4 linked regions of the Stegostoma tigrinum genome follow. The protein of the gene in region 1 interacts with the protein of each later gene in a pairwise test. Links are inferred from orthologs where the notes say so. Each region holds a gene or a part of one and is shown in the gene's direction. Other genes may lie near its edges. The genes, in order: tk1, dihydropyrimidinase-related protein 1-like, mucin-2-like and erg28.

Region 1 (7,098 bases):
GAGGGGTGAAAGATATAGGACAGATGTCAGAGGTAGTTTCTTTACTCAGAGAGTAGTAAGGGAATGGAACGCTTTGCCTGCAACGGTAGTAGATTCACCAACTTTAGGTACATTTAAGTCATCATTGGACAAGCATATGGACGTACATGGAATAGTGTAGGTTAGATAGGCTTGAGATCGGTATGACAGGTCAGCACAACATCGAGGACCGAAGGGCCTGTACTGTGCTGTAATGTTCTATGTTCTATGTCTATGTTCTATGTATTTCTACCCAGCTCAATTGTGATGCTCATACTTATCTTGGCCTGCTTAGCCCAGACAGGCAATTGCACATCTAACATACTTGCCAATTCAATTACTTTGGCTTTTATGGTCTCTTTTAGATCTCTTCATCTGAGATGCCTCTTCTATTTGCTGGAAAGGTTTTGCAGATTCTACTGTCATCTTACTTTTTAAATGCAAAACCTGGTGTATATCCTTCTCCTTTACACTAACTCCACATTCAATCTTGTCTTGTCTTTGCGCCAAAATCCCAGCAAAAGAGACCCCAAACCTTGTCAGGATTCACTGTGGCATTGTGCTGGAAATCAAGCCCCACTACCTATTGAGTGTGTCAGGACTTGATGCCAGTAGTGAATACAGCAGGGCACTGATGTACATCATGAATGGTGCAGCCAATGTTGTCCCATTGTTTAATAATTACAGGCCTGCGAGCCTCATGTTGGTAATAGGGAGATTATTGGAAAAGATTCTCAGGGACCACATCTATATGCATTTAGAAGAAAATTGACTTATTAGAGGTAGACAACTTCACGTTGGTGGTAAGGAAATTATTGGAAAAAGATTCTCAGGAACAAGATCTATATGTATTTAGAAGCAAATTGAATTATTAGCAATAGACAGCATTGTTTTGTGGGAGGGGAGGTCGTGCCTCACTATCTTGATCAAGTTTTCATGAGGAGGTGACGAAGGTGAATGATAAGGGAGAAATGGTTGATGTTGTGTAAGTTGATGATGTTCAGTAAAACCTTTGACAAGGTCCCTCATGGCAGAATGGTTCAAAAGTTGAAGTCACGTGGTATCCAGATGAGCTGGCAAGATGGATACAGAACCAGATTAGTCATAGGAGACGGGGGGGTAGGTTGATTTTCAGAATGAAGAGTTGTGACTAATGGTATTCCACAGAGATCAGTGATGGGACCTCTGTTGTTTGTGATCTACGTAAATGATTTGGAAGAAACCATGATAGAAGTTTATAAGATAATAAAATGTGAGGCTGGATGAACACAGCAGGCCAAGCAGCATCTCAGGAGCACAAAAGCTGACGTTTCGGGCCTAGACCCTTCATCAGAGAGGGGGATGGGGGGAGGGAACTGGAATAAATAGGGAGAGAGGGGGAGGCGGGCCGAAGATGGAGAGTAAAGAAGATAGGTGGAGAAGGTGTGGGTGGGGAGGTAGGGAGGGGATAGGTCAGTCCAGGGAAGACGGACAGGTCAAGGAGGTGGGATGAGGTTAGTAGGTAGCTGGGGGTGCGGCTTGGGGTGGGAGGAAGGGATGGGTGAGAGGAAGAACTGGTTAGGGAGGCAGAGACAGGTTGGACTGGTTTTGGGATGCAGTGGGTGGGGGGGAAGAGCTGGGCTGGTTGTGTGGTGCAGTGGGGGGAGGGGATGAACTGGGCTGGTTTAGGGACCCATCCCAGGCCCCAAGGTGACATTCCACATTAAGCAGAGGTTCACCTGCACATCTGCCAATGTGGTATACTGCATCCACTGTACCCGGTGCGGCTTTCTCTACATTGGGGAAACCAAGCGGAGGCTTGGGGACCGCTTTGCAGAACACCTCCGCTCAGTTCGCAACAAACAACTGCACCTCCCAGTCGCAAACCATTTCCACTCCCCCTCCCATTCTCTTGATGACATGTCCATCATGGGCCTCCTGCACTGCCACAATGATGCCACCCGAAGGTTGCAGGAACAGCAACTCATATTCCGCCTGGGAACCCTGCAGCCATATGGTATCAATGTGGACTTCACCAGTTTCAAAATCTCCCCTTCCCCTACTGCATCCCTAAACCAGCCCAGTTCATCCCCTCCCCCCACTGCACCACACAACCAGCCCAGCTCTTCCCCCCCCCACCCACTGCATCCCAAAACCAGTCCAACCTGTCTCTGCCTCCCTAACCGGTTCTTCCTCTCACCCATCCCTTCCTCCCACCCCAAGCCGCACCCCCAGCTACCTACTAACCTCATCCCACCTCCTTGACCTGTCCGTCTTCCCTGGACTGACCTATCCCCTCCCTACCTCCCCACCCACACCTTCTCCACCTATCTTCTTTACTCTCCATCTTCGGCCCGCCTCCCCCTCTCTCCCTATTTATTCCAGTTCCCTCCCCCCATCCCCCTCTCTGATGAAGGGTCTAGGCCCGAAACGTCAGCTTTTGTGCTCCTGAGATGCTGCTTGGCCTGCTGTGTTCATCCAGCCTCACATTTTATTATCTTGGAATCTCCAGCATCTGCAGTTCCCATTATCTCTGATAGAAGTTTATAAGATTGTGAATGGCATTGACAGAGTGGGAATTTTGAGGCTTTTTCTCAGGGTGGAGAGGTTAATAACTAGGGGACAGTCATTTAGGGTGTAGAGAGGAGGCCAAAGTTTAAAAGTGATGTGCAAGGCAATTTTTTTCACACAAAGAACAATGAGTGCCTGGAACACACTGCCAGAGGCGGTGGAAGCAGACACAATGGCAACATTCAAGATGCACCTGGATGAATACATGAACAGGAAGGGAATAGAGGCAAGTGGATCGTGTAACTGAATGTGAGGCTGGATGAACACAGCAGGCCAAGCAGCATCTCAGGAGCACAAAAGCTGACGTTTCGGGCCTAGACCCTTCATCAGAGAGGGGGATGGGGGGAGGGAACTGGAATAAATAGGGAGAGAGGGGGAGGCGGACCGAAGATGGAGAGTAAAGAAGATAGGTGGAGAGGGTGTAGGTGGGGAGGTAGGGAGGGGATAGGTCAGTCCAGGGAAGACGGACAGGTCAAGGAGGTGGGATGAGGTTAGTAGGTAGCTGGGGGTGCGGCTTGGGGTGGGAGGAAGGGATGGGTGAGAGGAAGAACCGGTTAGGGAGGCAGAGACAGGTTGGACTGGTTTTGGGATGCAGTGGGTGGGGGGGAAGAGCTGGGCTGGTTGTGTGGTGCAGTGGGGGAAGGGGAGATTTTGAAACTGGTGAAGTCCACATTGATACCATATGGCTGCAGGGTTCCCAGGCGGAATATGAGTATGGACTTCACCAGTTTCAAAATCTCCCCTTCCCCCACTGCATCCCTAAACCAGCCCAGTTCATCCCCTCCCCCCACTGCACCACACAACCAGCCCAGCTCTTCCCCCCCACCCACTGCATCCCAAAACCAGTCCAACCTGTCTCTGCCTCCCTAACCGGTTCTTCCTCTCACCCATCCCTTCCTCCCACCCCAAGCCGCACCCCCAGCTACCTACTAACCTCATCCCACCTCCTTGACCTGTCCGTCTTCCCTGGACTGACCTATCCCCTCCCTACCTCCCCACCTACACCCTCTCCACCTATCTTCTTTACTCTCCATCTTCGGTCCGCCTCCCCCTCTCTCCCTATTTATTCCAGTTCCCTCCCCCCATCCCCCTCTCTGATGAAGGGTCTAGGCCCGAAACGTCAGCTTTTGTGCTCCTGAGATGCTGCTTGGCCTGCTGTGTTCATCCAGCCTCACATTTTATTATCTTGGAATCTCCAGCATCTGCAGTTCCCATTATCTCTCGTGTAACTGAAGACACTTTTAGTACAGAAGGGCAAAATGAGTCAGCACGCACCTGCTCCTGTGCTGTATTGTTCTTTGTGTAGATTATTGTGTTTAATTTGAGGACAACATGTTTCAATTGTTCTGATATGATGACCTTCACTTTGGGAAATCCTGCTATCTTAAAAATGTATTTCTTCCAATCTCATAGGTGCCTGTAGTTTTTTGGTGTTTCACAAATCAGCTAGTGTCACTGAAAGAGGTCTATTGGCTGGCTCGGCCCACGTGACAACAAATTGTCACTTTCATCTCTTGACGTAATTTTGGCGGGGGTATTAAATTTGAAAACGCTTTGCCCTTTTCTGCTGTTTCTCTCTGCGCTCAGAATCTTTCATCACTCTGTTATATTTCGCTTTTTATTCTTTTTCCTGGGCATCTATTTTGTTTTGTTTCCGCTCCACAATCTTTATTTCTATTTATATCAGCTGGTGTTTGTATAACTGTTTATATTTTACTTTCTGATACAATGGACTGTTCCTACACCCCAGAAATCCCAGTTTCATCTCCGCGTAAAGTGAAGGGTCAGATTCAGGTAAGGGGGATAAAAATGCACACTGTTGATTCTTCAGAATAATCGAGGACACTGTTTTTAAAACAAAGCTTGACCAGAATCTCCTAGAAGAGATACCCAGCATTGTAGAGATTGTTTGAGATATTTTTATTTCACTCAATGAATCTGTGATAAATATGCAGAAATTGACCCATGTTAAACTTGGTGTGGGTCTGATTTTAAGACAGTATTTCTGCAATCGTTTTGATTTTTTTTTCGTTTTTGATCCCACTTCCTGTATCTCGCCAAAGGCGCCACTATCATCAGAGAATTGATCTTAAGGATGTTTCCTTTCTTTTTGCAATTTACAGATCATCTTCGGACCGATGTTCTCAGGGAAAAGGTAACAGATATAACGTTGCATTTGTTTTTCAAATAAGACTTTCAGATAGAAAGGTTCTGCCTGGTCGCTGAGGCTGTGAATTTGTTGGTGACCTCCTTGCTACTTGGCGCGAAGTGTTTTGTTTCCGGCCAACTGTGTTCCGCAAACCGGCCTCTGCTTTTATTCCACAGTTTCATTCCCGCTTCTACCAGGGCCAAGACACCAAAGTGTCCTGGATTTTAATCCACACTTTATTTCTCTCTGCTGGTCATCCAGCACTGGGATATATCTCCGCGATTCCTCTCCTCCGAATGGTGTATCATTCTGTAATATCTGCTTGGAAACGTTTCAAATCTGTTTCGATTGCTACAAATCTCTCAATGTTCCATCTGCCCTGATGTGTTATCTCCCAGTTTGAGAAACGTTCAACACTTTTTTTTGGACGTTCTTTCCAGTTATTAACTGAGGAGTCAATAACAACAGTAACTCGCGTTTATATAGAGCCTTATCGTCCCAAGGACCTTTTACTGAACATTTTGAAATAAGATCTGACACCCCAGTAGGGTTTCAGAACAAGTGACCATGAACATTATTTTGTCAAATATGTTTTGGGGAGTGTCTGAAAGGAGAAAAGAGAATTTAAGAGGTTTTGGGGAGGGAATTTCGTTTCTTGGGGCAAATCTGCACCTGAATTCAGTTGTGACACCGAGAATGCAATTTTTTTTTTGCTTCAGCTGCTCACAGTAACCAGGGAGAGGGATCGAGTCAGTGGCAAGGCAATGGAGTTTACAGCTGGGAGTGAAGATTTTGGTTTTCCTTAACACTTCTCAGCTCATTTAGTACTGGGTATCAGGTGATTTAGAGCCGTGGGCCTCACATTTTCCCAGTGACATAACTTCCAAACTTCGATTTTTGCTGTTGCAATTCAAGAAAACTTCCATGGCGACTTGCACTGCCTTTAGCTTAGTTGTTTATTGCGAACCGAGCGGAGGTGTTCTGCAAAGCGGTCCCTAAGCCTCCACTTGGTTTCCCCAATGTAGAGGAAGCCACACCGGGTACAGTGGATGCAGTATACCACATTGGCAGATGTGCAGGTGAACCTCTGCTTAATGTGGAAAGTCATCTTGGGGCCTGGGATAGGGGTGAGGGTTCGCAATAAACAACTGCACCTCCCAGTCGCAAACCATTTCCACTCCCCCTCCCATTCTTTAGATGACATGTCCATCATGGGCCTCCTGCAGTGCCACAATGATGCCACCCGAAGGTTGCAGGAACAGCAACTCATGTTCCGCTTGGGAACCCTGCAGCCCAATGGTATCAATGTGGACTTCACCAGCTTCAAAATCTCCCCTTCCCCCACCGCATCCCAAAACCAGCCCAGTTCGTCCCCTCCCCCCACTGCACCACACAACCAGCCCAGCTCTTCCCCTCCACCCACTGCATCCCAAAACCAGTCCAACCTGTCTCTGCCTCCCTAACCTGTTCTTCCTCCCACCCCAAGCCGCACCTCCATCTCCTACCTACTAACCTCATCCCACCTCCTTGACCTGTCCGTCTTCCCTGGACTGACCTATCCCCTCCCTACCTCCCCACCTATACTCTCCTCTCCACCTATCTTCTTTACTCTCCATCTTCGGTCCGCCTCCCCCTCTCTCCCTATTTATTCCAGAACCCTCACCCCATCCCCTTCTCTGATGAAGGGTCTAGGCCCGAAACGTCAGCTTTGGTGCTCCTGAGATGCTGCTGGACCTGCTGTGTTCATCCAGCCTCACATTTTATTATCTTGGATAGCAGTGAGGATGCTTTGTAGGATACCAATGTCACAGGCCTGTCAAGAAGAATGGGAAGGAATAGTTTGCCTTTTGTCAGAGCCACTTAGCACTTCACTTTGAGATTTCAATAAGAGCTGTCTTGATGCAATGGCAGGGGCTGAAACCTGATTTGGAGGGCTTCTAAGAGCCCTGAATTCCTGGAAAAATGGGTTGGAAATTGTTCAAGAACTTTGGAGAAAAATGGGACATTAGATATGGAATATCTATCGCCATTCACAGCACCATTCTGGGTATAAAGGGTACAACAAACTTAGCTGCAAAATAGTGAAAGAAACTAGATTTAAAAAGTCAAGCATTACTTTCATAGAATTATTAGAAAAGTAGAGAAATGAAGTGAGCATCTGCAGACACTTATCTCAGTGGCTTCAGCTCAGGGAAATGTCTGTGGAATCTTTTCTGAATTAGTCTAACACCTCATTGGAAAGTCAGTACCTCCAACAGTACAGCAATTTCTCAGTATCTTACTGGGATGTCCGCTTAGAATGTGTTCAACCCACCACCATCTGACTGAGGTGGAAATTTACACAAATGACCTAAGACTGTCATTTGACTGTAGTTCCCAAA
Region 2 (7,487 bases), on another chromosome or scaffold:
CTTTCGAGGAAATCTTGGTGATATGCCACAGCACATCTTGTTGATGGCACACAGTACTGCCACTATGCCTTGATCTGCGTGTATATCTCCCTGAGTGCTCAACCCTAAGTTGTCTTCTATTTATTAACCTTTTTTTTTACCATTTATTAACCATTTTTGTATAGAGAGGACATCCAATTTTACATTGTTCACTTATCATTATGTGATTGAACTAAATGAAGAAGTTTTAATTTGGTGAACTTAACCAACTTTCCTGATCAATGGTTTACCTGAATCAAGCATTACACAAGTATCATGTAACACTCTAAGTAAAGCTTACCATAAAAACAGAACTAAACTCCGAGTGCTCCTGTAACCAATGATAGATATGTGTATGAATTAACTTCCTTTAGCGGTGTTTAATGTTCAGGGTACATCGCATTTGGCAGTATATGTAAATCACACTATACCACCTGCAACACTTTGCACTCTGTAAGGCAGACAACAAGTTAATTTATAATGTGCATTTGTTGTAAAACAATTGCATTTATTGTTATGAGGCGAAGAAATTGGTTCATAAAATCTATTGGATGATATGGGGGAAAAGACAAGTGAGTTGAGTTGAGGTTTACATCAACCATGATCTAATGGGAGAATAGACGAGCTACAGAATAGTCCCTGCTCATTTGAAAATAGGAGAAGTAGGCCATTCAGTTTCTCAAGTCTGCTCCATTATTTGAGATGTTTATTGATAATCTACTACAATGATCCCCTTTCTGTTAATGTCAGTTGTATCCAGAATGCTATTGATTTCTTTCTTGAATATTCTCAATGACTGACCTTCCACAGTCCACCTATGTAGAGAATTCCAAAGATTCATTGCCTCTGAGTGAAGAAAATCCTTGTCGTCTCCGCTCCAAATGGCCTGCCCCATATTTTGAGACTGTTTCCTAGCTCACACAGCCAGGGGAACATCCCTTTTGCCTAAAACCTGTGCAGCGCCTTAAGGATTGTGTGACTTTCAAGGAGATTACCTCTCATTCTTTGAAGTATGAGGCAGTATTGTCTTTGTCTCCTCAACCTCTCAGATGACAGTGCATCCATGTCACCAGTAAGTCTCTTGAACCTACGCTGCACTTTTGCAACTATATCATTTTGCAAATATGGGGGCTAAATCTATACACAATACTGCAGGCGGAGTCTCTCAAAGATTTCACGCAAGTGAACCAATGCACCTTTACTTCTGTACTCAAATCTCATTGCAATGAAGGTGAATAAACCAGTGTCCCCTAAATTGCTTGCTGTACCTGAATTGTTAGCTTTCTGTGACTTATTACACGCAGGTCCTTGTACACCTACAAATCCGAATTCACCGTGTGTCTGCACTTCGAAATGTTTTGTTGGTCGAGCTGGACGTAAGTGGTCAAATAGATTATTTGACATTTAAAAATAAAGTTAGAACGCAGATATCTCTTCCAGTACTAGGATTTTTTTTCAAACAGTGGTAATGGGTAGTACCATGGGTAGATCTGCCTACTGAGTCAGTATGGGTGGAAATTAGGAACAGCAAGGGAGTAGTCACCTCGTTAGGGGTTTACTACAGGCCCCCCAATAGCAGCAGGGAGATTGTAGAAAGCATAGGTCGACAGATTTTGGAAAAGTGTGCACGCAGTAGGGTTGTTGTAATGGGTGACTTTAACTTTCCTAATATTGATTGGAACCTCCTTCGAGCAGAAGATTTGAATGGAGCTGTTTTTGTAAGGTGTGTTCAGGAGGGTTTCCTAACGCAGTACGTTGACAGGCCGACGAGGGGAGAGGCCATTCTAGACTTGGTGCTCGGAAACGAGCCGGGGCAGGTATCAGATCTTGTGGTGGGAGAGCATTTTGGTGATAGTGACCATAACTCTCTCACATTCTACATAGCTATGGAGAAGGAGAGGATTAGGCAGAATGGGAGGATATTTAATTGGGGAAGAGGAAACTATGATGCGATTAGACACGAGTTAGGAAGCATGGACTGGGAGCAGTTGTTCCATGGTAAGGGAACTATAGACATGTGGAGATGGTTTAAGGAACAGTTGTTGGGAGTGATGAGTAAATATGTCCCTCTGAGACAGGCAAGAAGGGGTAAGATTAAGGAACCTTGGATGACAAGAGCGGTGGAGCTTCTAGTGAAAAGGAAGAAGGTAGCTTACATAAGGTGGAGGAAGCTAGGGTCAAGTTCAGCTAGAGAGGATTACATGCAGGCAAGGAAGGAGCTCAAAAATGGTCTGAGGAGAGCCAGGAGGGGGCACGAGAAAGGCTTGGCAGAAGGAATCCGGGAAAACACAAAGGCATTTTACACTTATGTGAGGAATAAGAGAATGGTCAAAGAAAGAGCAGGGCCGATCAGGGATAGCATAGGGAACTTGTGTGTGGAGCCTGAGGAGGTAGGGGAAGCCCTAAATGAGTTTTTTGCTTCTGTCTTTACGAAAGAAACCAACTTTGTAGTGAATGAAACCTTTGAAGAGCAGGTGTGCATGCTGGAATGGATAGAGATAGAGGAAGCTGATGTGCTGAAAATTTTGTGAAACATTAAGATTGACAAGTCGCCAGGCCCGGATCAGATTTGTCCTCGGCTGCTTTGGGAAGCGAGAAATGCAATTGCTTCGCCACTTGCGAAGATCTTTGCATCCTCGCTCTCCACTGGAGTCGTACCTGAGGACTGGAGAGAGGCAAATGTAATTCCTCTCTTCAAGAAAGGAAATAGGGAAATCCCCGGCAATTATAGACCGGTAAGTCTCACGTCTGTCGTCTGCAAGGTGTTAGAAAGGATTCTGAGGGATAAGATTTATGACCATCTGGAAGAGCATGGCTTGATCAAATACAGTCAACACGGCTTTGTGAGGGGTAGGTCATGCCTTACAAACCTTATCGAGTTTTTTGAGGATGTGACTAGAAAGGTTGATGAGGGTCGAGCTGTGGATGTGGTGTATATGGACTTCAGTAAGGCATTTGATAAGGTTCCCCATGGAAGGCTCATTCAGAAGGTCAGGAGGAATGGGATACAGGGGAACTTAGCTGCTTGGATACAGAATTGGCTGGCCAACAGAAGACAGCGAGTGGTAGTAGAAGGAAAATATTCTGCCTGGAAGTCAGTGGTGAGTGGGGTTCCACAGGGCTCTGTCCTTGGGCCTCTACTGTTTGTAATTTTTATTAATGACTTGGACGAGGGAATTGAAGGATGGGTCAGCAAGTTTGCAGACGACACAAAGGTCGGAGGTGTCGTTGACAGTGTAGAGGGCTGTTGTAGGCTGCAGCGGGACATTGACAGGATGCAGAGATGGGCTGAGACGTGGCAGATGGAGTTCAACCTGGATAAATGCGAGGTGATGCATTTTGGAAGGTCGAATTTGAAAGCTGAGTACAGGATTAAGGATAGGATTCTTGGCAGCGTGGAGGAACAGAGGGATCTTGGTGTGCAGATACATAGATCCCTTAAAATGGCCACCCAAGTGGACAGGGTTGTTAAGAAAGCATATGGTGTTTTGGCTTTCATTAACAGGGGGATTGAGTTTAAGAGTCGTGAGATCTTGTTGCAGCTCTATAAAACTTTGGTTAGACCGCACTTGGAATACTGCGTCCAGTTCTGGGCGCCCTATTATAGGAAAGATGTGGATGCTTTGGAGAGGGTTCAGAGGAGGTTTACCAGGATGCTGCCTGGACTGGAGGGCTTATCTTATGAAGAGAGGTTGACTGAGCTCGGTCTCTTTTCATTGGAGAAAAGGAGGAGGAGAGGGGACCTAATTGAGGTATACAAGATAATGAGAGGCATAGATAGAGTCGATAGCCAGAGACTATTTCCCAGGGCAGAAATGGCTAGCACGAGGGGTCATAGTTTTAAGCTGGTTGGTGGAAAGTATCGAGGGGATGTCAGAGGCAGGTTCTTTACGCAGAGAGTTGTGAGAGCATGGAATGCGTTGCCAGCAGCAGTTGTGGAAGCAAGGTCATTGGGGTCATTTAAGAGACTGCTGGACATGCATATGGTCACAGAAATTTGAGGGTGCATACATGAGGATCAATGGTCGGCACAACATTGTGGGCTGAAGGGCCTGTTCTGTGCTGTACTGTTCTATGTTCTATGTTCTACTGTGCAGGAGGGACGGGCAAACTTGTTGCAAACTCCGAAGAGGTCAGGTCACAAAAATAAAGCAACACGAAAGCTTGATCCCAGACAAAGCTCAGGGCGAAGACGCGGCCCAGCTCCCTGAGCCAGTTCTGTCAGGAGGTGCTGAACGGACAGCTCACTGTGAAGTGAATGGCTTTGCCACTCTCTCTTTCACTCACACACACACCACATACACTTTGATCGATCGTCTCCAGACAGTTGCTCTCAGACCGACGCCGCCCCTCACCCTCCCGGCTCCCGCTCACAGAATATTCAATCCAAAGCCCCTCCTTGAAGGGAAGGAATGACAGGGCGGGGTGGGTGGGGGGAGAGACAGAGTTAGCTGAGCCAACGGCGACACTTTCTCATTGATTCTGACGCTTTTACTTCCGTGTCAGGGAGGCTTTGAATGGAATAGCCTGTCGCCCAGAGGATTCATTTAAGTGGTCAGATCCTGGCTGGGGGTCTACTGGTTTGCTACTGTGTGTGTCTGTGTGTGTGTGTGTGTGTGCAAGAAAGTGTGACAGACTGTGGCGTTGAGTGAGAATAAGTGCTATCATTCCACCCCTCCCCTTCTCTCTCTCTCCTCTCCTCGGAGACTGGACCAGGCATGGCTGAGGAGAAAAGACATTGGAACAAGGAAGATGACCTGCCCGTGTACCTGGCCAGACCGGGCACCACGGCTCAAACGCCCCGGCAGAAATACGGGGGCATGTTCTGCACCGTGGAAGGTGCGTACGAGAGGAAGACAATAGATTTCGATGCCTACAGCGTGGGGCGCCGGAGCTGCAAGGCATCTCGGAGCTCCAGCAGACAAGACCTGCTGTCACCGGAGTCAGACGGACTGAGCGAAACCGCCAGCGATGTCAGTGAGGTCTCCGGCTCGGTCATCAGCTCTCCCGGTGAGAGGGAGGAGAGAGGTCCGCTGGAGATCAAACCTCCGACTGGCAAGGAGCTGCTCCAGGGCTGGGAGCAGGGCAAGGTACCCAGCGAAACTCCATCATTACCATTCCCATCCACCCCACCTCCACACACACACAAACACGTTATCTTATATTGCTCACCTAAACAATCATAAAACCTCACACCTAACCCAGTTTATCCATCACTGGAACAGTCCTCATTTAAACACTTATTGTCTCGAAATTGTACACAAGTGCTTCCAAAGTGGTGATATCACGCCAGGGTGCAAACCAATGAGCGGAACAGGTCTAATTTCTGCTTGCAAATGCCTTCCAGTCACCCAGAAGGATTCTTTTGTTCTGGGGACTTCATTGAACTGGCGCCTCTTTTTCAGGGAAAGCTGTAGATTAGACCGGAGGGAGTGGAACCAGCTACAGCCAGCTGCCGTAGTTTCCATTCACTCAAAAAGCGTGTCAAGAAGATCAGGGATTAGCCTTTTTTTTAAATTTTCGGACATCTCCCCACATCTTTCCTTGCTGGCTCCACGGGAGCTATTGTCTGTTTGCAACGTGACTGACCCCAAACCCTAATTCTCCCCCTCGCGTTTCTTCACACAAAATGCTTCCAATAATAGAGGGGCTTTTCAGTTCAGTCTGTTTCCGCAGAAGCGGGGGATGGGTAAAGAGTTTCTCTCACAATGCTCCCTGACTTTAGTTCCTCACCGTCCCACCTGAACCGAGCAACATGATCAAACAAAGAGGCTGTCCCCCCATAAATTCGACTTTATTCGCACACATTCAGAGACGAATGAAATGCGGGCTTGCCGTCTTTGGGACGTCAGTAATCTTAGAGAGTACTTCGTGATCATTGATGTTTCCTTGGATTGGAACAAGACAGCGGGATCTGAAGCGGCAGTTTACATTGCACAGCATGGATTCAGTGAGAAGTTACAGACAACAAACAGGGAGAGTTGGGTGCGAGAGGAAAAGAGCCATTAAGATACACTTTCCGCTATATAAGAGGTTGGGGCGGGTGGGGGGTGGGGGTCAGCCAATGCTTCAATATCTCGCCATGATGACCCATGGAACCAAACTGAGATTACTGCAGCTTTAGAATGGCATCGGAGGGCGGAACCATTCCTTGCAGAATCTCTTAAAATCTTAAGCAATCTGTGCTCCCCGATGCCCAAAGACACGGGTACCATCGAGGCTTGTGCCAAGTACTATGTGTGCCACACAAGCATCAGGCAATGGCTATTTGCAAACATGGGATGGCTTCCTTTGATATGCAGTGCGATTATCCTTGTGCAGCCAACCCCATTCCCTACCGCCCACACAAAACCTGGGGAGATCTCTACTGAACAGAATCTGAGCTAGCCACGTGAATGCAATGACTCTAAAGCGAGCCTGGGAGCGGGGAATATTGTACTGAGGAACTTGTTTTCCCCATGGACACGGCACAAGAGGGCGGTGGGGCACTCCCCACTTGCTACGTGTGTACAGAGCCAATAACCCCCAGCACTCGTCCCTCCGGGGTTCACAGTGGCTGTAGAGATGTATCATCTACCGTAGCAGTGCAGCAACCCTACCAAAGCTTCTCTGACAGCATCTGCCACACCCAGTTAGCTCCCCCACACCAAAGGGCAAGAGCACATTCTCCCTGTGTCTGCGTGGGTTTCCTCCCACAGTTCGAAGAGGTGCAGGCTAGATGGATTGGCCATGCTAAATTACCCGCAGCGTCTAGGGACGTGTAGGCTTCGGTAGGTGAGAGGGGGACGGGTGTGGGGAGGATGCTCCGTGGGTCGGTGTGGACTTGTTGGGCCGAAGGGCCTGTTTCCACACTGGTAGGGAGACTGTCAGCGCACCCAAAGGATTTGACCACCGCTCATACAGTCACAGACCTGGAAATGTGGGACTGTTCCTGGCCGGTCAGTGGGTCAGAGGCTCGAGAACGTGGCTTCGGCAGAACCAGGCATGAGCAGCCAATGCTGGCCCTGGCTGCTACGCCCACTTTGCCGTGCATATATTAAAAATTTACAGGAGCTCCCCGCCTTGCTCTGGGAAAGCGCTTCCTGAGGTTACGAGCAGCTGCAGTGTCCTCTCAGGTCTCTAGAAGGAGCTCTCACTCAAAGTCCCTCCGGATGGCCGCCGACTGACACCTTTCTCTAGCCTCACATTCCCCCCCCCCCACAAAAAACACAATTCACAAATAAATATTCTTTTTGCAAAAAAAAGAAGAATCGAGCGTTAGCGTGTCGATTGCCCATCCAGTTTAAGAGCTGGAAAACCTGCCGTTTCTCCTCTGCTCACAATAAAACAAAAACACAGACAAACATGTCCAACCAAGACGGCCAGGATGTGCACCGCGTAACGGTAAGCCCTTTCTTTCTGGAAAGACCGTCCCAGTCTGTCTCGCCGTGTGTGTGTGTGTGTGTGTGTGTGTGTGTCGGTGTTTTAGA
Region 3 (7,963 bases), on another chromosome or scaffold:
GGGGGACTTGTCTCTCACCAATCCAGTGATTTAAAAAGCGTATTGGAAGGTGTGCTCATCCCTATCTCACATGGTGAAATATGTTTTCATCTCCCGCTCACTTATTAAGAGAATCGTCCTTCATCTAACGGTTCAAACAACATACAATTTGGTGAACAGTTAAACAATAAAATCTTAAGCTCTACCTGATCCTGTTTTAAACGCACTGTTTAGGCTGAAGTACTATTCGGAAATACAATGGTTATTATCCGAAACCGTCCGCCTTTTGCAGCTGTTTTACAGGATAGTAAAAGTCCTCGTCAATGGAATTTTGATTTTGGTCTGATTTGATTTCATTTATGATTGTCACATGTACCTAGGTGCAGTGAAAAGTTGTGTTTTGCATGCAGTACAGGAAGATCATATTATTCAAAGTGCCTTAGGGTAATAGAAGAGCGCGAGGAGTACAATGCTAGGGCTACAGGGAAGGTAAACGAAGACCGAGAGCAATATTAAATTTAAAACTTGAGGGGTCCAATCAGAAACCAGGAAGAGCCCGGAAGAAGTTGTTCTTGAAACTGTTGGTCGGTGTGTTTAAGCTTTTGTATCTTCTGCCCAATGGAAGAGGTTAGAAGAGTTATAACTGGGATTTGAGGGGTCTTTGATCATGTCGGCTGCCTTTCTGAGGCAGAGGACGAGTAGGTGGAGTCAGCGGGTGGGAGGATGGCTTGAGTGATGGACTGGGCTGTGTTCACAACTCGCTGCGGTTTCTTACGGTCCTGGGCAGAGTTTTTGCCATACCAAGCCGTGGTGCACTCAAGTAGAATGCTTTCTATAGTGCATCTATAATACTTGGTAAAAGTCTTTGAGGACAAGCCGAATTTCCTTAGCGTCCTGAGAAAGTGGAAGCATTGTTGTGCTTTCTTGACCTTAGCGTCGGTGATCATCACTTCCAGGACCTAGACGCCCTGGAACATCTCCACCTCAACACCATGTGGACAGGGGCGTGCCCTCCACCTTGCTTCCTGAAATCAATGACCAGCTCTTCCGCCCTGCTGACTTGGGGAAGAGATTGTTAACTTAAGTGCAAACAGTTGACTTGGGAAACATACCTCCAGTAAACTAAGACGCCAAAACCCCCAAATCAAACGTTCGTTCATAAGGGCAAAGGGACATAGCTCCGCTACTTGGCCAGTCAATTGGATCATAGCCGTAACTCCATTCCAGTGCCTCGGTGATTAATTTACTTGCCTGTGAGATCTTGTTTTACCGATTTCCGTGCATAACAGCCATAACTAAACTCAAAAACGGATAAAGAGATAATGAAACTTTTACGTTCGTGAATAGGAAATTATGCGAAGATTTCTTCTCACCCAGAGGGCAACGGGAATCTGGAACACGATACGAGAGGTAGAGACAGACACCCTCAGAACATTTAAGAAGTGTTTCCATGTACACTTGAGATGCCAAGACATACAATGGGACAAATCCTGGAAAACGGGATTAGAGTAGTTAGGTGGCTGGTTTTAACCGGCGCAGACTCGATGGGCCGAAAGGCCTTTTACTCTGCCATAGACAACACTCTGATTTTGGAATGCACTGGTTAGTCCCGGGCAATAATTCAGAAAAGACGTCAGAAGGGTGCTGAAGAGATTTTTAGGGTCGTACCGGGAATGAAAGCCTTCAGCTTGGGTTGGAACGGCCGGAGGAGGCCTGGTCTCTCCGCTTTGGAATAGAGTTTATGTCGGCGAGGAAACTGGTGAGAAGCGGGCTCCCGCTTAAGGGGTTTGGTCGGTAAACAGGCAGACACAACATGAAGAAACATTGTCATGGTGGAGCTATGAGCTGAAGGCACTGCCTGATATGAAGTGCATAAACATTCGAAAGCCAATCACTCCAGGCCAATGGGAAAGATAGATGGCTTCATCAATGAAACTGCTGGGGTCCCTAACATGTTTCCTTGCTCCTGGATACTGTATTGGGTTCAACACAAGTCCATGTCAATTATCACCTCACAGAATCACAGGATTGCGACGGTGCAGGAGGGGCTATTCGGGCCATTATGCCTGCGCCGGGTCTCTGAATGAAATTTCCCTTCACGCAACCTTACACATTATTTCCTTTTTGCAAATAATCATCGAGGGCCCACTTGAATGTCTCGATCATCCGTGTCTCCAGCAGACTGGCAGATCGTGTATTCAGAACACTAAGCACTCGGTATGTAACACGTATTATTTACTCACGTCTCGCTTGCTCATTTTACAAATGATTTTCTAATCTGTCTCCTTTCATTCTCACTACTTTCACCAATGAGAAAAAAAAGTTCCTTATACAGTCTGCCCAGGTCCCTCATATTCGAACACCTCGATCAAATCTAGTCCCAAGCCTTCACTTTTCCAAGAGCTGTCCCAAATCTCTCAAATCTATCCTCAAACTGAAATTCCCCCACCCCCGCAACCATTCTGGTGAATTTCACCTTCACTCTCTCCAGTGTCAAATTACGGCGCTCAGAACCGCATCTGACCCTTCACCCAGAGTATTGTAAAAGGTTACCACGACCTCTTGTTTCTGGGAGTGTATATTGAGTGTTACATCGATGTAGGCAGTTGCCGAGTACGCAAACAGTGTGAGTCAGCGATCAGCAGAGGCTCTGGCCGTGTGTGAGTCAGTCAGTGTTCACAGAGTTACGTAAAGAGAAGGCAGAGTTTATCAGGAAACGAAAGAACCAGGCTGAGGTCTTTGATAGACTCGGTTCGGCTTTCAACATAAACTCCGCAAGCAAGTGTCTCTTGCAGACAGTGAACACACCAACACCATTTGCTTCTGCTGTCACTGTCCCTTTACTTTCGTCAATTTTGTAAGGAAGGAACAGGAGAGAATTAAAAACGAAGGACTGGAGGTGCTGGAAATCCGGAACAAAATCAGAATGCGCCAGAGAAACTCAGCATGTCTGGTAACATCTGTGAAGTGAGAAACAGTTAACATTTTGAGTCCAGTCCCTCCACTTCCGCTTACTGGTTTCTGTGCGTGACCCGCTCGGTTCTCATTCGGTTCGATTTTGACGCGAAACAAGGCACAAGCCCGATACAGAAATTTTCGGACTGCATTAAATGGAGAGGAAATGTTAGTGCATGGGAAAGGTTCCAGCGACGACAGCAGAAGGCTAGGCAGCGGTTTCACTCTGACACAGGATTTCCTGCCGCCCACACACCATGTACTCGGGTCAGCTGACGGTTGTACTACCTATAAGTCAAAACGCGTCGTACTTGTCAAAGTTGTAACTGGAATCCATCTGAATCGATTCGAGCAGAATTTTTTTCGACTTAGTGTGAAAGTGTACTGTGAAACGCTGGGGGGCTAACGCCGCCATCGAGAATCTCGAGAATTAAAAGGAAGGCGCGCGCATATTACCAGTAAAGGTTCACCAGGTTGGGTGAAAGGCATCAGAAAGAAAAAAAAGGCAGAGATCTACCTTCTTTACTAAAATAAAAGGATTCATTTATTATTAAAAATAGAACTTTCCTCCCCACAAGTTCTGAAGATGCCTAGCAACACAAAAACAGCGAAGTAGGCCGTTCATCAAACTCTCACACAGGAGAGAACAGATCTCCACATCACAATGGGGCAAGCCCCATACACATACAGGGGCAAACTCCATATATATATGGGGCAACGCCACGTTGAATGGGCAAATACAAAGTCATACACAAGAGTAAGCCTCATTTGCACACGAGGCAAAGGGCATACACAAGGGAGAAAACATACATAAGGGAAAAACACATATTCTGGGCAAAATTCAGACACACAGGGTTAGCTCCATTAGCATAGAGTAAAACAGCTTAATTCGGGTGGAGGGGTGCTCCGCAGGCACACAGGATACAGGCACACAAAATACACGCACAGGAGCAGAAGCAACACAGGAGAAATACACACGGGGTCAAACAGTACACGAACATACTGGGAGAATACACCACCTACTGATACATGGACAAAACACACTTTGGAGAAGCGTGCAAATAGACAGAATAGATAAAGTGAAGGACAACGCAATCGCTTACTGGGCCAAAGCTCCAAAATGCACAAAGTGGGACAGATCCATAAAAACAAACACATGTACAAGGATAGAAGACACCGGCAGGGACAAACACACACATAAACACAGGGTCAAAGCAACTGAAACAGGGGACAACGCATCTATTGTGAGCAAAAGGCAGATGCAGCTCTCCCGAACAACTGGGGGTGGATAACAAGCGCACATCCATTGAACAAATGATAAACACACAGGGAGCGAGCATATCTTCACAGACTCAGAGGCGACACACTCTGACTAACAGAGATGAAACACACTCACTTCAGTGTCAGGGACGAAACGAACAACCACTAAGGGTCTAATCAAGCCCACACATGAACTATACTTATAGATTTGAAACAAAGTATACATTACGATGGAACACATGGAAAAACATAGACACGCGTGGACAAAACACAAACATGCAAGGAGAAATGCAACACCACACATACACACGTGTATTTTGAGTGTTCCTGCAGAAGTCAAATAAATTCGTTCATCTACTTTTTCAGCCACGGCCTATTTTTGAGAATGGAGGAAGAAAACGTATAAGAACACGTGGCGATGCCTCAAACTGAAATTACTAGCTCTAAACCGAGGTCTTAAGAAAACATCAAACCGTAATAACAGCTCTCTTGGCCTCTCAAATGTCAGCAGCTGATGCGTAAATGGCATTTAAGCCCCCGGGGGAAAAACGGCCGGGTCAGCCGAACAACTTGAAATATACACTACAATAACTCAGCAGCTAACTTCACCGTGAGCGCCCGCTGTAGGGGGCGCGCAGTTTTCAGTTAGAACCACACCTTCCAGATCATGGCGATCGCATCGCCCACACACTAGACGGGGTGGAGGAGCGCGCTGACGGTCAAGACGCAGTTTCGGTTAATTAAAATCAGCAGCATTGAAAAATGCACCAATAGATTGCGACAACCGACCCTTTTACGGAAATACTGTTATTGCAACATGTGTCAGGAAGGACAAAACTAAACTTCCGGGCGCTGTTTGCGAGCCATCAGCCGGTAAATAACCTGACGGCAGAAACGTCAGCGTGTCACCGCCATGAGGGTTGTATATTGTTAATACGTGCACTAAACATGCCACAGATCTAGCGCCGACAAGACCGTATTCTATCGGCAGGAAATACAACGCTACGCAGATAACTGCTTCGTGTACAGTGGAGAGAACAAAGCTGGAACTGCAGTCTCGACAGATTGCTGTTTGAGGTAACACCGTTTTATTAATGGCAATCAGAGTCCAAATCGCTCCGCCCTGTACGTCCTCGTCACCCTGCTGGATGAGTTCAGTGTTGCGACTAAATGTCAAAACAGGCTCAAACTGCAACAAGAATCAAGCAACAAAAAGAAGTGCTAATGGCTCATATTACATGTTGGATACTAGCTGCAATAAAAGTGATGTATTTATAGATGAGCCTGTAGGGTCACGCAAAGCGTTGCTGTTCGGGGTTTTTTTTACCTTGGTTAGGGGGGTTGCTGGGGCTGGAAGGTGCTAGGCGGGCTCAGCTTTGATTGACAGGGGCCAACGCGTAGGCGCCAGTTCCCTCTGAGGGCGGTGGCGCGGGCCAAGGGGGTGGGGCGGCCTCTGATTGGCGGCCGCCGGAGGTCGGGGTTGAGCCGGTGGCCCAATCAGCACCGGCAGAGTGCGCGAGCGGCCGTGCGTCGTGGCCGCGGGGCTTTTGCGTGGAGACGCCGGCCGTTGGATGAGGACGGGGGTAACCGCAGTGTTACCCACCGGGCGCTGTAATTACCCCCACCCCCTGTCAGAGCAAACCCTGAGCCCGTGACTGAGTCAAGCCTCATCTCCCACTGCTTCCTCAGGTTATATCAACGACGCTTCTCGTTTTTCTTCAAGGGCACAGCTTTCTAATGGCTGTCAGGTGGTGCAACCTCGTGGCCGGACTCCCTGATTGACCTGCCCGTGCGCTTTGTTTCTGCTCCGGGGTGAGACGCTGCAATCCGCTGGCCCCCGTCTCTTGGTGTTGTTGAGGGGACGGGGCTGCCCACCCCGCGCCCTTTCCCGCTGGCCCGAGGATTGTGGGAGCCCGCCTGCAGTCGCGCCGGCGGCCGCCGGGTGGCGCTGCCCAGCGGCCCCGGGACCGCCAGCGCAACAACAAGAACAACCCGCCGCCGCCAGGACTACCACCGGATGAGAGGGGAGGGGAGAAGGGGCAAAGGAAACAGCCGCCCCAAACAGGGAGCAGTTGAAGCAGCCTAGGCTACGGGCAGTCAAAATCATCCAAAGAGCTGGGCACGGCGCCTGCCTCATCCCATCCCCATGAACAGCCTACAACGTCTGATTGTGCAGAGCCCCGACAGTTCGGGTGCTATTCCGTGGTAAGTGCCGATCTTTCTGTTTCAATGTACTTTTGCCGGCTGCTTCGGTTACGATTCGCACGCACCCCGCCTCCCGGTGCAGCCTCGGCAGTGAGGGTTTGAAGGGGTTTCCCAGGTTGCAGACAGCCTCAGCCAGCCGCCGGGCAGTTGGAAACCGGCCTGTGGAGGTTCAAAGGCTGAGCGCGCCGCGGTTTTTTGTTTTAAAATAAAAAGAAGGGAAATCTGTGAATTCCTCTGAACGGTGAGCAGCTCTTGACAGCCTGGGCTGCGGAGGGGAGACTTGGAGAGTGTGAGGGCAGTGCGTTCGGGTTCTGAGAATAGAGAGGAGTAGCTGCGGGTGCTGTAAGTCTAGAACTGTTTGTTTTTCTTTAAAAAAGAAAAAGAAACACTTAATTAACGCATCGAGTCCAGCACGACTCCTGTTCGGACCTTTCCGACGGGGTGTATATATAACTGGACTCGCGTGGATACGGCAGGACCGACTGAGATTCTCCAGCACTTTGAGATTTTTATTTCGGGTCCTTCAGAGTGCTGCTGATGGTAACGGGACAGACTGAGGGCAGTGTGATGTGGGGGTATAACGAGGAGGGGTCAGAGTGAGACACTCTTTCACCCCCCACCCCGGGCAAACTCCAGTTGTTTACAGTTGTCCCGACGGCGAGAGCTGGACCTTCAAACGCCGCGTTAAACTCGCGTAGCCACTGTATGTTTTCCTCAACACCACCACCATCCCCCCCCCGCCGTCTCTCTCCCCCCACCCCACCACCACCACCACCCCCCCCCCCCCAGGCAAATCTCGCTTCGCCTGCCGCCCCTCTCTGCCCTCCCCCATCTTCCTCTAACCTCCTAACCGTCCCCTTCGCCGCTCTCTCTTCACACCAGCCCCCACCGCCAACCGTCCCCGACTACCCCCCAACCACCCACTCTGCTTACATTATCAATATGCCACCCTATTCACCCTCCCCCTGCCCCACCCACTCTTCTCCCATTCCTCCCACAGACTCACACCACCCCCCCCTGCTCTCCCACCCCCGAACCAAACCGTCTCCCACCCACCTCTCCTTTTGCCGCATTCTCCTCCGCCTCTCCCTTGCCCCCACCCTCCCCCCCTTCCACCCACCCACCTTTTTACCCCTTAACCCGCCTCTTACTGCTCCCCGTCCTCCTCTCCCTTCCCCACCATCCCTGTCACCCACACCTCAACCCCCAAACACTCTCTGCCTCCTTCCCTACCCTCCTAACAACTAATTTCCCTCACCCTCGCTCCTCCTCCTCACCCCCACCTCTCTGTCCAGCCCTACCCTCCCTTCCTCCACACCCTCTTCCCATACCCTTTAACTCTCTCCCCCTTACACCGCTCCCCCCATCTCTCTCCCCCACCTCTATTCTCCAACCAACCCACCCTCCATCTACCGTCTCCCTCTCCATCCTCCCGGTCTATCATCCCAACTCTATCCCCTATCATCTCCCCCAACCTCCTTCCATCTCTCCCTCCTTCCCCAGCCTATGCTCTCACTTTCCCTCATTCTCCTGCTCCCCCTCACTCCTCGCCCACATTCCCCTG
Region 4 (7,995 bases), on another chromosome or scaffold:
GAACACACCTTACAAAAACAGCTCCATTCAAATCTTCTGCTCGAAGGAGGTTCCAATCAATATTAGGAAAGTTAAAGTCACCCATTACAACAACCCTACTACGTCCACACTTTTCCAAAATCTGTCAACCTATGCTTTCTTCAATCTCCCTGCTGCTATTGGGGGGCCTGTAGTAAACCCCTAACGAGGTGACTACTCCCTTGCTGTTCCTAATTTCCACCCATACTGACTCGGTAGGCAGATCTTCCTCGACAATGGAAGCTTCTGTAGCTGTGATACCCTCTCTGATTAGTAGTGCTACACCCCCTCCTCTTTTTTCCCACCCTCCCTATTCTTTTTAAATGTTCTAAACCCTGGAAGATCCAGCAACCATTCCTGCCCATGAGAAACCCATGTCTCTGTTATGGCCACAACATCATAGCACCAGGTACTGATCCATGCTCTAAGTTCATCACTTTTATTCCTGATACTCCTTGCATTAAAGCAAACACACTTTAACTGATCCCTTGGTTCCTTTCCAGGAAAATCCTTCCCACTAGCTGGTCTACCTCTTGCTACTGCCTCACCTGCATCAACTCTCACCTCCGGTATACAGCTCAGGTTCCCACCCCCCAGCCATACTAGTTTAAACCCTCTCGAACTACTCGAGCAAACCTTCCACCCAGGACATTGGTCCCCTTCCAGTTCAGATGCAACCCGTCCTCCTTGTATAGGTCCCACCTTCCCCAGAAGGCATCCCAATTATCTACATATCTGAAGCCCTCCCTCCTACACCAGCTGCGTAGCCACGTGTTAAGCTGCGCCCGCTCCCTGTTCCTCGTCTCGCTATCTCGTGGCACCGGTAGTAAACCAGAGAACACTACTCTGTTGGTCCTGCTTTGCAGCTTCCATCCTAACTCCCTGAAATCACTTTTTATATCCTGAATCCTATTTCTGGCTATATCATTAGTGCCAATATGTAACACGATTTCTGGCTGTTGGCCCTCCCCTTTTCGAACCTTATACACCTGATCGGAGACTTCCCGGACCCTGGCACCAGGGAGGCAACATACCTTCCGGGAATCCCAATCCTGACCACAAAATCTCCTGTTGATTCCCTTTATTAGCCAGTACATTGAGTATAGTATTTGTGGAATGACTATGAGAATTTTTTTGGAGCCGTTGTCATCGAGCCCACTGGGGGACAGGCTGTTTTGGATTTGGTGATGTGTAATGAGGCAAACTTGATTAGGGTTTAAGGAGGCCCTGGAGGACAGTGACCACAATGTGATAGAATCCACCCTGCAGCTTGAGAGGAGAAAGTGGAATCAGATGTATGGGGTTTACAGAGATAGCGAGAACTGTAGACGCTGGAGTCAGAGTCAACACAGTGTGGAGCTGGAAGAACACAGCAGGTCAGGCAGCAGAGTTCTGATGAAGGGCCCTGACCCAAAATGTTGACTTTCCTGTTTCTGTGATGCTTCCTGACCTGCTGTGTTCCTCCAGCTCCACACTGTGTTAACTGTTTTACAATTGAGGAACGGTGACTATAAGTACGTGAAGGAGGAGTTGGTCAAAGTTGGTTGGAAGGGAGCCTATCAGGGAAGAGCAGCACTGGATTTTCTGGAGCTCGTTTGGGAGGCATGTCAGAAATTCATCCCCAAGGAAGAAGAAACATACCGGAGATCTCTTATCCCTTTGCAACCACACCTCTCTAATACTCACAACAACATATCTGCCAATTTCAATCTGTGTTCAATCTTGTTTCCCTTTTCTCATACACTGTGTGCCGTTAAGTACAACACCTTCAGTCTTTCGCTAACTACCCCCTTCTCATATCGTTCCCTTATCTGCTATGCCTAAAGTTATATTGCTTTTATAGCAAACTAAAATGGACTTGGTATTGTGTAATGTGACAGGATTAATTAATGCCCTCTTTTAAACCTAAGTAAGAGCAACTAGTGGGCATGAAAGCTAGGCTAGCCTAAGTGAACCGGCATGCTAGTCTAGGGATTATAAGTATGTTCAAGGCTGAGATAGATCTTTAATCAGTGGGGGAATTATGGGGAAAAAGGCTGGAAAGTGGAGCCAATAATTCTCATATCAGCTGTAGTGTCATTGAATGATGGAGCAGATTCAGTGAGCTACTTCTACTCCTATGTACTGTGGACTTAAAGTTAGGGAAACTTTGACAGGCATTTAAGGAGCTATTTTCCTCCTATAAAGAAAAATTCAAAAAGGTCTGCCCACAATCTACGGTTAAATAAAGTAGTTAGGGAAAGCATCAAACTTAAGGAAAACACCCTATCACTGAAAAAAAAAGAGTGGCTGGTCAAATGTTTGGCAGAATATAAAGAGCAGCAGTGAGTCAATCACTAAAGAAACTACAGCTGTGCACTGAGAAAAGCTCAACATATTCAATGTTGAGGGTAACGTTATGAAAGGGTAATCAAGTTTAACCAAATTATTGCAGCACTTCAAAGAACTAACAGCCGCTATGGATAAAGGGGAGAGTGTAAATCTAATTTATTCGGATTTCCGAAACGCATTTGACATGGTGCTACATCAAAGGTTAATATGAAAAACAAAACTTCATTTAATTAACATGGATAGATTAACTGGTTGCCAAAACACAGGAAGTATGCATAAATGGATCTTTGTGTTATTGCCAAGATGTGGCCAGTGGAATCCCACAGTGGTATGTGCTGCAGTCTCTGTCTTGGATATTTGTTAGACCATAGACCATAACGTACAGGAGTTGAATTAGGCCATTCAACTCGTCAGGACTACTCCACCATTCAATCTTGGCAGATCTGTTTCTTAACCTACTTCCCCTGAATTCTCCCCATAACCCTTGATCCTCTCACCAATCAAGAACCTATCTATCTCTTAAATACACTGAGTGAGTTGGCCTCTGCAGCCTTCCAAGGCAACATGTTACACAGATCCACCAGCTTCTGGCTGAAGAAATTCCTCCTCATCTCAGTTCTGAAGTGTTGTCCCTTCACTCTGAGGCTGTGGATTATGGAATTCCCCCTGTTCTATATGATTTCAAGAATGAGTTGGATGATAAACCATCAATGCAATAAATGGAGCAGATTTGAAGAGCAGAATCACTACAGCTGCTCCAATTTTCTCTTATTTTCTGGCTGTTTATCATTGAATTGTCTTGTGAAATTTATTAAATTGCCCTTTTGTCCCAGGTGGTCATTGAATTATAAATTTATGAATTAGGAGCAGAAATAGTTAATTCCATCCCATGAGCTTACAGTGCAATTCTTTAAGATCATGTCTGATTTGTATATGAAGATACTGTGGTGCCACTCATAAAGTATCCATCTCACTGCTGTGAAAAATAATGTAATCCTTTGAAACTAAAACATTTGATCCACAATCCCAAATCATTTTCAAATCCAAGACTCTCTTGGTACATTGAGCTATGTACCACTGTTCAACTTCTTTTTCACAGTTTACAGACTAACAATATGTAGACCCATACAATGTTCAAATGTAGCAAAGATGTGGAGGTGCCAGTGCTGGACTGGGGTGGACAAAGTCAGAAGTCACACGACATCAGGTAATAGTCCAACGGTTTTATTTGAAATCACAAGCTTTCAAAGGCAGCCCTTTAGTCAGAAATAGAACATTAATTAATGAACTCCCAAATAATGGTGCAAGAAATAATAAGCCCCTAGTTAAGGAGCATGAAAGAAGAAACTGTCATGTAAGGGGACATTAAATAATAAAATCCGAAAGAACTGCAAATGTATTAAATAATAATCCACTGAGAAATGGAGGGTAAAATAGCAAACATCTGAGAAATGGGGTGTTAAATAATAAACCTTGGAAAAGGGAAATTAAAAATAATCCCTAGTGAAATGGAGAATTCAATTATAAAGCCCCAGGAGTCGATCAATAACAATGATCCGGGGGAAATGCAGTGACTGTGTGGAGTTTGCACATTCTCCCCGTGTCTGTGTGGGCTTCCTCCAGGTGCTCTGGTTTCCTCCCACAGTCCAAAGATGTGCAGGTTAGGGTGGACTGAATGTGGGAAATTGCACCATAGTGCCCAGGGATGTGATTAACCATGGGAAATAAAGGAATTGTCTGAGAAGCTGGTCGGAGGGTCGGTGTAACTCAATGGGCCAAATGGCCTGCTTCCAGACTGTACAGATTCTATAGTTCTTTGAAATGAGTCATTTGAAATAAACTCCCGGAAAATAGAGAATGAAATAATAAACTCCTGGAAATTGGAGAATTAAATAATAAAACCCGGGAAATACAGAATTAAATAATAAACTCCTGGAAAATAGAGAATGAAATAATAAACTCCCTGGAAAAGGAGACTTAAATGATAAACTCCTGAGAAATAGAGAATGAAATAATAAACTCCTGGGATTTGGAGAATTAAATAATAAATCCGGGGAAATACAGAATTAAATAATAAACTCCTGGAAAATACAGAATGAAATAATAAACTCCCTGGAAAAGGAGACTTAAATGATAAACTCCTGAGAATTAGAGAATGAAATAATGAACTCCCGGGAAATAGAGAATTAAATAATAAACCTCCAGGAAATAGAGGATTAAATAACAAATCTCTGGGAAATGCAGAATTAAATAATAAACTCCCGGGAAATGGAGAATTCAATAATAAATCCCCAAAAAATACAGAAGAGAATTAAATACTAAACTCCTGGGAAATGCACAATTAAATATAAACCCCCGGGAAAAGGGGAATTAAATAATAAAATCCGGGGAAATGGAGAATTAACTAAAAAAACGGGAAATACAGAATTAAATACGAAACCACTGGGAAGAAGGAGAATGAAAAGGTGGAGAATGGGCGCGGTGCTCGTAGTCAATCAGCATAGAGCAGAATCAGGCGGTGACGTCTAGGTGTTTGATTGGTGCAGACGTCTGCCAAACATGAACACTCCACCCGATAGACCACCCCAAGCCAATCGGCAACGGAGGAGGGTGGGAGATTGGACAAGCGATTTTTTTTTATACACCGCACTGTCGGAGGGTCAGTGCTGAGGGAGCGCCGCACTGTCGGAGGGTCAGTGCTGTGGGAGCGGGCGCTGTCGGAGGGTCAGTACTGAGGGAGCGGGCGCTGTCGGAGGGTCAGTGCTGAGGGAGTGGGCACTGTCGGAGGGTCAGTGCTGAGGGAGCGGGCACTGTCGGAGGGTCAGTGCTGAGGGAGCGGGCGCTGTCGGAGGGTCAGTGCTGAGGGAGTGGGCACTGTCGGAGGGTCAGTGCTGAGGGAGCGGGCGCTGTCGGAGGGTCAGTGCTGAGGGAGTGGGCACTGTCGGAGGGTCAGTGCTGAGGGAGCGGGCGCTGTCGGAGGGTCAGTGCTGAGGGAGTGGGCACTGTCGGAGGGTCAGTACTGAGGGAGCGGGCGCTGTCGGAGGGTCAGTGCTGAGGGAGTGGGCACTGTCGGAGGGTCAGTGCTGAGGGAGCGGGCACTGTCAGAGGGTCAGTGCTGTGGGAGCGCCGCACTGTCGGAGGGTCAGTGCTGAGGGAGTGCCACACTGTCGGAGGGTCAGTGCTGTGGGAGCGCCGCACTGTCGGAGGGTCAGTGCTGTGGGAGCGCCGCACTGTCGGAGGGTCAGTGCTGTGGGAGCGCCGCACTGTCGGAGGGTCAGTGCTGAGGGAGCGCCGCACTGTCGGAGGGTCAGTGCTGAGGGAGCGCCGCACTGTCGGAGGGTCAGTGCTGAGGGAGCGCCGCACTGTCGGAGGGTCAGTGCTGTGGGAGCGGGCGCTGTCGGAGGGTCAGTACTGAGGGAGCGGGCGCTGTCGGAGGGTCAGTGCTGAGGGAGTGGGCACTGTCGGAGGGTCAGTGCTGAGGGAGCGGGCACTGTCAGAGGGTCAGTGCTGTGGGAGCGCCGCACTGTCGGGGGGTCAGTGCTGTGGGAGCGCCGCACTGTCGGAGGGTCAGTGCTGAGGGAGCGCCGCACTGTCGGAGGGTCAGTGCTGAGGGAGCGCCGCACTGTCGGAGGGTCAGTGCTGTGGGAGCGCCGCACTGTCGGAGGGTCAGTGCTGTGGGAGCGCCGCACTGTCGGAGGGTCAGTGCTGAGGGAGCGCCGCACTGTCGGAGGGTCAGTGCTGTGGGAGTGCCGCACTGTCGGAGGGTCAGTGCTGAGCGAGTGGGCACTGTCGGAGGGTCAGTGCTGAGCGAGTGGGCACTGTCGGAGGGTCAGTGCTGAGGGAGTGCCGCACTGTCGGATGGTCAGTGCTGAGGGAGTCCCGCACTGTCGGACGGTCCGAGCTGAGGGAGCGCTGCACTGTCGGACGGTCCGAGCTGAGGGAGCGCTGCACTGTCAGAGGGTCAGTGCTGAGGGAGTGGGCACTGTCAGAGGGTCAGTGCTGTGGGAGCGCCGCACTGTCAGAGGGTCAGTGCTGTGGGAGCGGGCACTGTCGGAGGGTCAGTGCTGAGGAAGCGGGCACTGTCGGAGGGTCAGTGCTGAGGGAGCGGGCACTGTCGGAGGGTCAGTGCTGAGGAAGCGGGCACTGTCGGAGGGTCAGTGCTGAGGGAGTGGGCACTGTCGGGGGGTGTCAGTGCTGAGGGAGCGCCGCACTGTCGGAGGGTCAGTGCTGAGGAAGTGGGCACTGTCGGAGGGTCAGTGCTGAGGGAGCAGGCACTGTCGGAGGGTCAGTGCTGAGGGAGCGCCGCACTGTCGGAGGGTCAGTGCTGAGGGAGCGCCGCACTGTCGGAGGGTCAGTGCTGAGGGAGCGCCGCACTGTCGGAGGGTCAGTGCTGAGGGAGCGCCGCACTGTCGGAGGGTCAGTGCTGTGGGAGCGCCGCACTGTCGGAGGGTCAGTGCTGAGGGAGCGCCGCACTGTCGGAGGGTCAGTGCTGAGGGAGCGCCGCACTGTCGGAGGGTCAGTGCTGTGGGAGTGCCGCACTGTCGGAGGGTCAGTGCTGAGCGAGTGGGCACTGTCGGAGGGTCAGTGCTGAGCGAGTGGGCACTGTCGGAGGGTCAGTGCTGAGGGAGTGCCGCACTGTCGGATGGTCAGTGCTGAGGGAGTCCCGCACTGTCGGACGGTCCGAGCTGAGGGAGCGCTGCACTGTCGGACGGTCCGAGCTGAGGGAGCGCTGCACTGTCAGAGGGTCAGTGCTGAGGGAGTGGGCACTGTCAGAGGGTCAGTGCTGTGGGAGCGCCGCACTGTCAGAGGGTCAGTGCTGTGGGAGCGGGCACTGTCGGAGGGTCAGTGCTGAGGAAGCGGGCACTGTCGGAGGGTCAGTGCTGAGGGAGCGGGCACTGTCGGAGGGTCAGTGCTGAGGAAGCGGGCACTGTCGGAGGGTCAGTGCTGAGGGAGTGGGCACTGTCGGGGGGTGTCAGTGCTGAGGGAGCGCCGCACTGTCGGAGGGTCAGTGCTGAGGAAGTGGGCACTGTCGGAGGGTCAGTGCTGAGGGAGCAGGCACTGTCGGAGGGTCAGTGCTGAGGGAGCGCCGCACTGTCGGAGGGTCAGTGCTGAGGGAGCGCCGCACTGTCGGAGGGTCAGTGCTGAGGGAGCGCCGCACTGTCGGAGGGTCAGTGCTGAGGGAGCGCCGCACTGTCGGGGGGTGTCAGTGCTGTGGGAGCGCCGCACTGTCAGAGGGTCAGTGCTATGGGAGCGCCGCACTGTCAGAGGGTCAGTGCTGAGGGAGCGGGCACTGTCAGAGGGTCAGTGCTGAGGGAGCGCCGCACTGTCGGAAGGTCAGTGCTGAGGGAGCGGGCACTGTCAGAGGGTCAGTGCTGAGGAAGTGGGAATTGTCGGAGGGTCAGTGCTGAGGGAGCGGGCGCTGTCGGAGGGTCAGTGCTGTGGGAGCGCCGCACTGTCGGAGGGTCAGTGCTGTGGGAGCGCCGCACTGTCGGAGGGTCAGTGCTGAGGGAGCGGGCACTGTCGGAGGGTCAGTACTGAGGGAGCGGGCGCTGTCGGAGGGTCAGTACTGAGGGAGTGGGCGCTGTCGGAGGGTCAGTACTGAGGGAGTGGGCGCTGTCGGAGGGTCAGTGCTGAGGGAGTGGGCGC

The links.
Region 2: the proteins of tk1 (region 1) and dihydropyrimidinase-related protein 1-like interact in a two-hybrid assay, tested with the Homo sapiens proteins (2 studies listed by BioGRID and IntAct). The link is inferred for Stegostoma tigrinum from reciprocal best matches to the Homo sapiens genes TK1 and CRMP1.
Region 3: the proteins of tk1 (region 1) and mucin-2-like interact in a two-hybrid assay, tested with the Homo sapiens proteins (2 studies listed by BioGRID and IntAct). The link is inferred for Stegostoma tigrinum from reciprocal best matches to the Homo sapiens genes TK1 and LRIF1.
Region 4: the proteins of tk1 (region 1) and erg28 interact in a two-hybrid assay, tested with the Homo sapiens proteins (2 studies listed by BioGRID and IntAct). The link is inferred for Stegostoma tigrinum from reciprocal best matches to the Homo sapiens genes TK1 and ERG28.

Annotation. Positions count from the first base shown.
Region 1 is NC_081375.1:15,188,046-15,195,143, reverse strand, and holds the start of tk1 (thymidine kinase, cytosolic), read left to right. Parts: upstream 1-4,086; 5' UTR 4,087-4,296; coding exon 4,297-4,362; intron 4,363-4,691; coding exon 4,692-4,723; intron 4,724-7,098. UniProt on the Homo sapiens protein: Cell-cycle-regulated enzyme of importance in nucleotide metabolism. Catalyzes the first enzymatic step in the salvage pathway converting thymidine into thymidine monophosphate.
Region 2 is NC_081354.1:18,242,254-18,249,740, reverse strand, and holds the start of dihydropyrimidinase-related protein 1-like, read left to right. Parts: upstream 1-4,480; 5' UTR 4,481-4,736; coding exon 4,737-5,108; intron 5,109-7,127; exon of another isoform or gene 7,128-7,362; coding exon of another isoform or gene 7,363-7,401; intron 7,402-7,487.
Region 3 is NC_081374.1:46,712,928-46,720,890, forward strand, and holds the start of mucin-2-like, read left to right. Parts: upstream 1-4,958; 5' UTR 4,959-5,271; intron 5,272-5,695; exon of another isoform or gene 5,696-5,917; 5' UTR 5,918-6,340; coding exon 6,341-6,399; intron 6,400-7,963. UniProt on the Homo sapiens protein: Together with SMCHD1, involved in chromosome X inactivation in females by promoting the compaction of heterochromatin.
Region 4 is NC_081363.1:871,690-879,684, forward strand, and holds the start of erg28 (ergosterol biosynthetic protein 28 homolog), read left to right. Parts: upstream 1-4,979; 5' UTR 4,980-5,008; intron 5,009-6,732; exon of another isoform or gene 6,733-6,864; intron 6,865-7,464; exon of another isoform or gene 7,465-7,844; intron 7,845-7,995.